Linked DNA regions of Ovis aries. The protein of the gene in region 2 interacts with the protein of the main gene of each other region in a biochemical or structural test. Links are inferred from orthologs where the notes say so. Each region holds a gene or a part of one and is shown on either strand. Other genes may lie near its edges.

Region 1 (3,648 bases), on a different chromosome or scaffold from region 2:
AAACTGATTAAACAACTGACTCTCACCCTCCCAAACACACTGTATTCCTGGGTTATATCTTGACTCTGGACTTCCCATCTTGTGATATAGATAAATAGCCAAAACGAGAGCCCAGCATTTTCCCTCTAGGCTCCTCCTGGTACCCACAGTCCAGCTCACCTAATTTCTAGCCTTGGGCCAGTAGCTACACCTCTCTGAGTCTCAACCTCTCTCATCTGCTAATCAGGAAACTAGTATCCAACTCGGCAGTAAGGAGAGGAACAGAGCCAGGACACTGGAAGAAGGCCCGGGGGCCAGGGCAGGAAAAGAAGCCATCCGTTGTCGCTCCTTACCTTCTACAACACCCACGCCTACACTGCTACGGCGCGTATTCATCGGGGCCACGAAGAACCACTCGTTGGTCTTGTAGCTGTAGGCTTCTACCGACGCCAGCCCTGGGAGACAAGCAACTCGTGAGGTTTCTATGGTGCCAGGCCTCACCCTGCTGGGCTGAGAGTGAGGATGGGGCAAGAGTGCAGACCTGGGGGCCGAAAACCTGGGGGAGTATGACTCAGCAATACCTCTGCCTCACCATGCATCCCATGGCACCTCCATAAACACATCTGCAGTGTCTGTCTGAGGGGACCACTAAGACCTGACCTAGAGAGTGGGCTGTGAGAAGAATGAGGGTCTAAAGTAAATCATAAAACCACAGAATGGACTAAATACCTGAGATTGCCTCACTGAACACCTATTTCAACCTTCTTTCCCCTTGTCTTCCTCAATTTTAGAGGCTAGAAAGATTAAAACTTGTCTTCCCAGACTTCCTTAGAGCTGGGGGTGACCAAGTCAATGCAATCTAAGCAGGATTTCTGAAATAGCCTTTGATTTTCTGATAAGAGCCCCCCTTCTCAGCCCTGACCCCTTCCCCCCACCCCACTACTTCTTGCTACCTGGAATACAAACGTTTTGGCAAGAGCTATAACAGCCACCCTGTGACCATGAGGACAAGTCTAAGAGACTCTGCAAGATCTTGGCCCAAGATCCTTGAACAACTAAACCAAGTCAGCAACTGCCAACCTCTGACTTTGTTTCACAAGTAAAACAAAAGCTCTCATTTGTTTAAGCTATGGTGTAGTCAGGTTTTCTACTAGCAGTCAAAAGCAATGCCTAAAAGAAACAATGCCCCACTATCCTTTGTTCTCTTTATTCCCAGTCCCCCCTCATTAGAAGCAGCCTCCGGAGGTGCTATATAACTTGGAATGACATGAAAGAGGCAAAGAGAAGGTTGCAAACGTTTACCAACTAGTGAAGACAGAAATGAAATTTCAGAGGGATAAAGCATATTGTTTTTCATGTCACTGGGGACCAAAAGAGTCAAGTGTTTACAGAGACCTCCACCTGGAGATAGAAGAGGCAAGATAATTTCTCCAAGTCCATGTCCACTAGTATCAATAGTTTCCGATTCTGACTTTGGAGCGAGATGAACACCAGGAGCAAGGAGACGCTTCTGCAGTGTCACAGCCTTGCACAGCTTTGGTGGGGCAGCAGGGAGGGCAATGGAGAAAGGCGTGTGACTCAAGCCAAGTCTCTTCCCACAACTGAACCTCAGCTCTCCCGTCTGTTCAGCAGAGGGTTCAGATCACAGTCCCGAGACACCCTCCAGTTGACCTTGCTCTATGTTTTGTCTGTGGAGTAAAAGAGTTCCCAGACACTAGAAAGGATAAAAGGGACTCTTCTGAGGGTAGGGTACTTCCTGGAACCTAGAAATGAGAGCACATGGATGGTATTGTGTGTGTAGGAAGGTGTGACTCTGACACACAAGCTGGGAGGGGAGGAAGGATGGGTATGTTCTTGGGACAGTAGCTACAGAGAGACCAAAGGTTGGCCCAAGAGCTGGCTGAGCAAACCAGGCTTGTGGGTTGTTATTCAGTTGTGTCTGACTCTTTGTGACCCCTTGGACTGTAGCCTGCCAGGCTTCTCTGTCCATGGAATCCTGCAGGCAAGAATACTGGAGTAGGTTGCCATTTCCTACACCAGGGGATTTTTCCCAACTCAGGGACCGAACCTGCATCTCTTATGTCTCCTGCATTGGCAGGAGGATTCTTTACTGCTGTGCCACCTGGGAAGCTTCAAACCAGAGTAACATGGAGTGCATGTCTCAGGCTGGATGGTGACTGAGTCCAGGACCTACCAGTACTGCCATCAAAGCCCCCCACGGCATAGAGCAGGTCATTGAGCACAGCTGCACCCAGCGTGCTCCGGCGCTCCTGCATGCTGGCGATGGACGTCCACTGGTCCTTCACCCCATCATACACGTCCACTGTCCGCACACGCAGTGAGCCATTGAACCCGCCCACTGCATACACATGGCCAGCCATGAACACCACACCTGAGGCACAGGAAACCAAGGCATCAGGGTCATCTCAAACAGCTGACGACTCACATTTCGATAAGTGACAATGTGGGAATGAGGCAGGCATATAAATACTGATAGTTTAACAAAGAAGGTGATCTCCAACTTGTGATATTTGGAAATCACTATGGGACTCATTGGATTTCTTCTCAGATTTGCATTGCTAATTTTGTTTGTGTCAAGCAAATATTTGCATTAGCCTAAAGTCCCTAAGCACATAAGAACCGATCCCAGAAGGTACAGCTAGAAAGTGCGCAGGTGGGGAAGGGAAAGGAAGGGAGTGTGGAATGCACAATGTTTTCAGAACCAGGGAGCAGAATTTCAGCACCCTGCCGAGACCCGCAGGGTGGGAGGGGGAGCTAGGGACAGCCGGCACACTGGGAGACCGTGCGGCTCACCGGGAGACCGCGCGGCTCACCTGCTCTGCATCTCCTGGAGGGAAGCTCAGCGATCTGGTCCCAGCGATCCTCTTCAAAGTCATAGCACTCCACGCTGCGGATGGCCTTGGGTGCCTGGCCACCAACCACGATCATGACCTCCAGAGAGACAAGCGGACATTAGCTGGCTGCCCCAACATCCAGACCTATGGGTCACCAACCCCTGCTACATACATGCTCACTGCTCAGGGTCCATGGATGACCTGAAGTGCCAGTTTACAGAGCTACATACATGAAGATGCTGCCCCTGATCACCAACAAGTATGAATATTCAAGAAAAGTCTAGTGAACATCTTCCCACAGAAACACAAGCATTAAGTCTATGCTTCCCAAGTGCCCCTACTCACAGTTGTATTAGGGCCATGTGAGGCCACTTGGGGCATCTTCTACCATCTGCGTGTCCTTAAGGACCGGGGGCAAGGAGACTAAATTTTATATTGAAACAAAATATTCATATATATATATATCTCAACATATGAATGTATTTTAGAATAGAGTATAGAAGTTGGATGCATTTTTAAGATAAAATTAATTCAAAAATATTTTTGAATGAATAGACTGTAGGGGGTACTTATTCACTGGAGTATGGGAAAAAAATTGTAAAACACTGTTTTGTGGTGGTTACCACAAAGATGTATGTAACTGATGATGTCCTGAAAAATGTTACTAGTACTATTTCTACAAGTAGGGTAGCAGCTACCACTGCCAGTCATCATGTGAAGTATGTTGTCATCGCAACTCAGTGAGGCAGATATTGCCATCCACACTGATAGGTCAGGAAAGTAAAGCTCAGAGAATATAGGGAAACTGCCCAGG
Region 2 (3,648 bases):
TAGCATTATTTTAAGTAACAAAATTTTGAGTCAAACAAACGTTCATCATTAAGATATTGGTACCATAGATAAATGAAAATGGTAGGTCAGAGAATAGTATTTATAAAAATGGGCTTTTTTTTTTTTTAAATCAATGTGTGTAAGTGACCACTTATGCATAGCAGAAAATCCATAAAGCAAGTGCACCGGACTACTAATTGTGGTTATATCTGGAGAAATGAGGTTGGGTGTTTTCATTTAACTCTATTAATGTAATATAATGGTTAAAATTTTTATTACAAACAGGTGTTTGTTTTATATTTTAAAATTAATTTTTAAATTACTGATAGGTATTAGAGAATCTTGAAAGTCAGCTGTGAAGTTCAGAGTTTCAGCTAGAGGGGACCATTAGTTTTACTGCAAAATTTAATACTTGGGTACAGTTACATGTCAGCATTGAGTGTAGACGTATTATACCAGAGGGTCCAGCACGTGCTGGATTCCCACATGTCGTTCACTTTGCTGCACTCTGAATTGAGTGATTGTGCCCTTGTTTTCAAAGAAAGAAACCTCATTTTAGTAGTAAAATGAGCAATCACAAAGGTATCAGAACTAGTCTATGGTAGAGTTCAAAGTTCAGTGCTTTTCTTCTATCTTGTAGCTGTTGTCAGAGCTGTTCTTTAAGCAAATTAATTATACAGTTGAGAAACTAGACTAAAGAGATAATACGAACCACATTGAGAGCTGCTATCAAGAAATGGGAGCAAAGAGGGGAGGGCATTTGGAGGAGAGAACATCTGTTTGAACCTGGATCTGAGGTGTCTGTAAATATCCGAGCTGCTCCTGGGGCAAGGAGCATGTCAGGTGAAGAACCAGTGGTGACTCAGACTCGGAAACATGGGTTAGTTCTTGGTTGACCCATCACACAGAGCAGCAGAGGAAAAATGAAGATGTGTAAAGGGAAATTGGTGAGTTTGACTTTGTGCATGTCTTGATTACTAAAATTGCCATCTCTTACAGACACTGATAAGCAGATGTCCTGCCTTAGAAACATGCTGTTAACTACTTGAAATAAAACTGAATGATGGTTTTCTTCTCAGCAGCAAGGAGTGCAGCCAACAGCCCCCTCTCAGCAGGTGGCGCAGTATCCGCTCCCTCAGACATCGGCCCCCAGCGAGGCCGCGATTGCACAGCCCATGAGTCAGCCTCCACCTCCGCAGGCCTTGCCACACGTGTCCGCGGGAAAACAGGTGAGTGCCATACTTCTGGAAGGAGCACCGCATGACTTCTGCTTCTCTGGTGGTAAAACTGCTAAATGGAATGAACATCACTTCTGTGCATTGTTCCCGTTCAGTCGCTCAGACTGCAGCCCGCCAGCTCCTCTGTCCATGGTGTGTCTTTTGTAGATATGAACTGATTAATATAAATGGGTTTATAAAGCAGTGGTAATCCAAAAATGTTCAGTTTTTAGGTTTATCAGCCTAATAGAAGTTCGACAGATGTAGAACTGATAAGGGTGCTGCAGTGATGACATTTTCTAGAATTGTCAGTTGTATCTGTTCTAGGTTTGCAGTTATGCCGTGTTTTCACATAGACTTATGTGTTGTTCCCTGCCCGCATTGTCTTCTGACAGTCATAAAAAAACCTTATATGGAGTGGGGTTTTTTTTTTTCTCTAAATAATCCTTCTAGTACTTGAAAAGTAGCCTTGTTGAAGATAAACACCTTTCTGAATGACATTTTTTCAACTTAAAGGTTGGGGCTTGTGCTTGTATTTTGATACAGTGTATTGTTTCTGTCATATTTTGTCACATCTGAGACTGTCAGTTGTAAAATGCACCATTATTTTAGGTAACACTGAAAACTGACGCACCATTAATTGTAAGGTATATCTTAATTTCATAAATGTTAAAGTGACCATGTGGAAAGGCATGATTACATCCTGCAATTAGTGGAAGATGGTTGTAGACCTACTCTTACAAGCCTGGGTAGGACATGAGAACTGTGGAAGCAATATGGATGAGCTATAAGTTCACTGAGGAGAAAGTCCTTTGAATTTCAGCCATTATATAATAGCAGTTGTAAGTTCAGTGACAGCAAATGTACCAGTGGATTATGGCTTGAGAAACATGCCTCAGTCAGGATGTGAAGATATTTCCTATGCAAGAGCTCTCTGTTGTTGATGGTGACGTGTGAGTGGAATTTTCTAGCGCAGATTTAGAACAGCAGCACTCCATCAGCCGCCCGTCTGCAGCTGCCTCTCCCTGATCCTGTTGGCACGTTAACTTACACTAATATATGCAGGGATTGGTGTTTGTTTTAATTTTCTTTCTTTTTGGCTAATAAATAAGTCTTGCTTTTGGCAGCCTTGCTTTTTTTTTTTTTAAGTCTGTCTGTTTTGTTTTTCTTTACTTTCCCAGCTTCCAGTTTCCCAGCCAGTACCAACTCTCCAAGGCGAACCTCAGATCCCAGTTGCAACACAGCCCTCAGTCGTTCCCGTCCATGCTGGTGCTCACTTCCTTCCTGTGGGACAGCCACTCCCGCCCTCTTTACTGCCCCAGTACCCCGTCTCTCAGCTCCCCTCTGCTCCTCCTCACGTGTCTGTGGCTCAGCCAGGCTTCCCACCCCTGCCCGTCACGATGGCAGCTGGTGTTAGTCAGCCTCTGCTCACCTTGGCTTCATCTGCTGCGGCAGCGGCCGTCCCAGGGGCACCTGCTGTCGTCCCTAGTCAGCTTCCTGCCCTCCTGCAGCCTGTGACCCAGCTGCCGAGTCAGGCTCACCCACAGCTCCTGCAGCCAGCAGTTCAGTCCATGGGGATCCCCGCCAGCCTTGGACAGACTGCCGAGGCGCCACTTCCCCCTGGAGATATTCTCTACCAGGTATTGTGCTGGCTGGTAGATGAAGGGCCCCAGAGGGTTTGGTCGTAATGACAGAACATCGGGGGACTTAAAAACCGAGTAACTGAATATCATAATAACCAGCAATAACACAGGTTGCTGTTCTCAACCAGACATGCCAAAATAGTCCACATCTGAGCAAGGACCCAGTAGAGATGTCTGACTCATTTGCATCTTTTCCAAGACCCCTCCTTGAGAGAAAAATGCCTCTCTCCACATTCGCTGTGAGCTGAGAGCTCGGTATGACTCAACAGTAGATTGTATCAGGCTGCGTTTTTTTTATGGGAGGAGTAATGGTGGATAGCCAACATGGTGTCAATGGAAACCTTTAGGGTTTAGATTTAGAACACTAGCAAGTCATTGTGTGACTGCCATGACTGATACCTGCAAGAGTTTTTGCATTTTCATGTTGGACTGCCTGGAAAGTAGGTGGTTTTTCTTGGAGGAATTATGTTTATTCTTCCTATTTAAAATGATCTCCAGAAGGGGAAAAAAGTAGCAGTTTATTATTATTTTTTTTTAAGTCACAGTTTAAAAGTTCAGTTATGTACTGTCCTGTCCTCTAAATCAAAATCAGTCAATCATTTCGTTTGAAAATCTTTAAATTATTAGAGATTGGGCTACTTTTCTTTGCTGTGTGCTTTCCTTTCTTTTTCTTCTTCCCTTGCATGTCTTGCTGTTTTGCTCATTTGATGACCCAACCTGCACTAATTTCCCTTCCTCGTTTCTGTCACAGGGCTTCCCACCTCGACTGCCATCACAGTACCCAGGAG

What was found. The genes of interacting proteins can lie anywhere in the genome.
Region 1: of the proteins of WNK1 (region 2) and KLHL3, one has a biochemical effect on the other in vitro, tested with the Homo sapiens proteins (2 studies listed by BioGRID). The link is inferred for Ovis aries from reciprocal best matches to the Homo sapiens genes WNK1 and KLHL3.

The regions. Positions count from the first base shown.
Region 1 is NC_056058.1:46,721,553-46,725,200, forward strand, and holds part of KLHL3 (kelch-like protein 3), read right to left. Parts: intron 2,932-3,648; coding exon 2,814-2,931; intron 2,372-2,813; coding exon 2,174-2,371; intron 435-2,173; coding exon 333-434; intron 1-332. UniProt on the Homo sapiens protein: Substrate-specific adapter of a BCR (BTB-CUL3-RBX1) E3 ubiquitin ligase complex that acts as a regulator of ion transport in the distal nephron.
Region 2 is NC_056056.1:213,515,549-213,519,196, forward strand, and holds part of WNK1 (serine/threonine-protein kinase WNK1), read left to right. Parts: intron 1-1,079; coding exon 1,080-1,229; intron 1,230-2,398; coding exon 2,399-2,857; intron 2,858-3,611; coding exon 3,612-3,648. UniProt on the Homo sapiens protein: Serine/threonine-protein kinase component of the WNK1-SPAK/OSR1 kinase cascade, which acts as a key regulator of blood pressure and regulatory volume increase by promoting ion influx.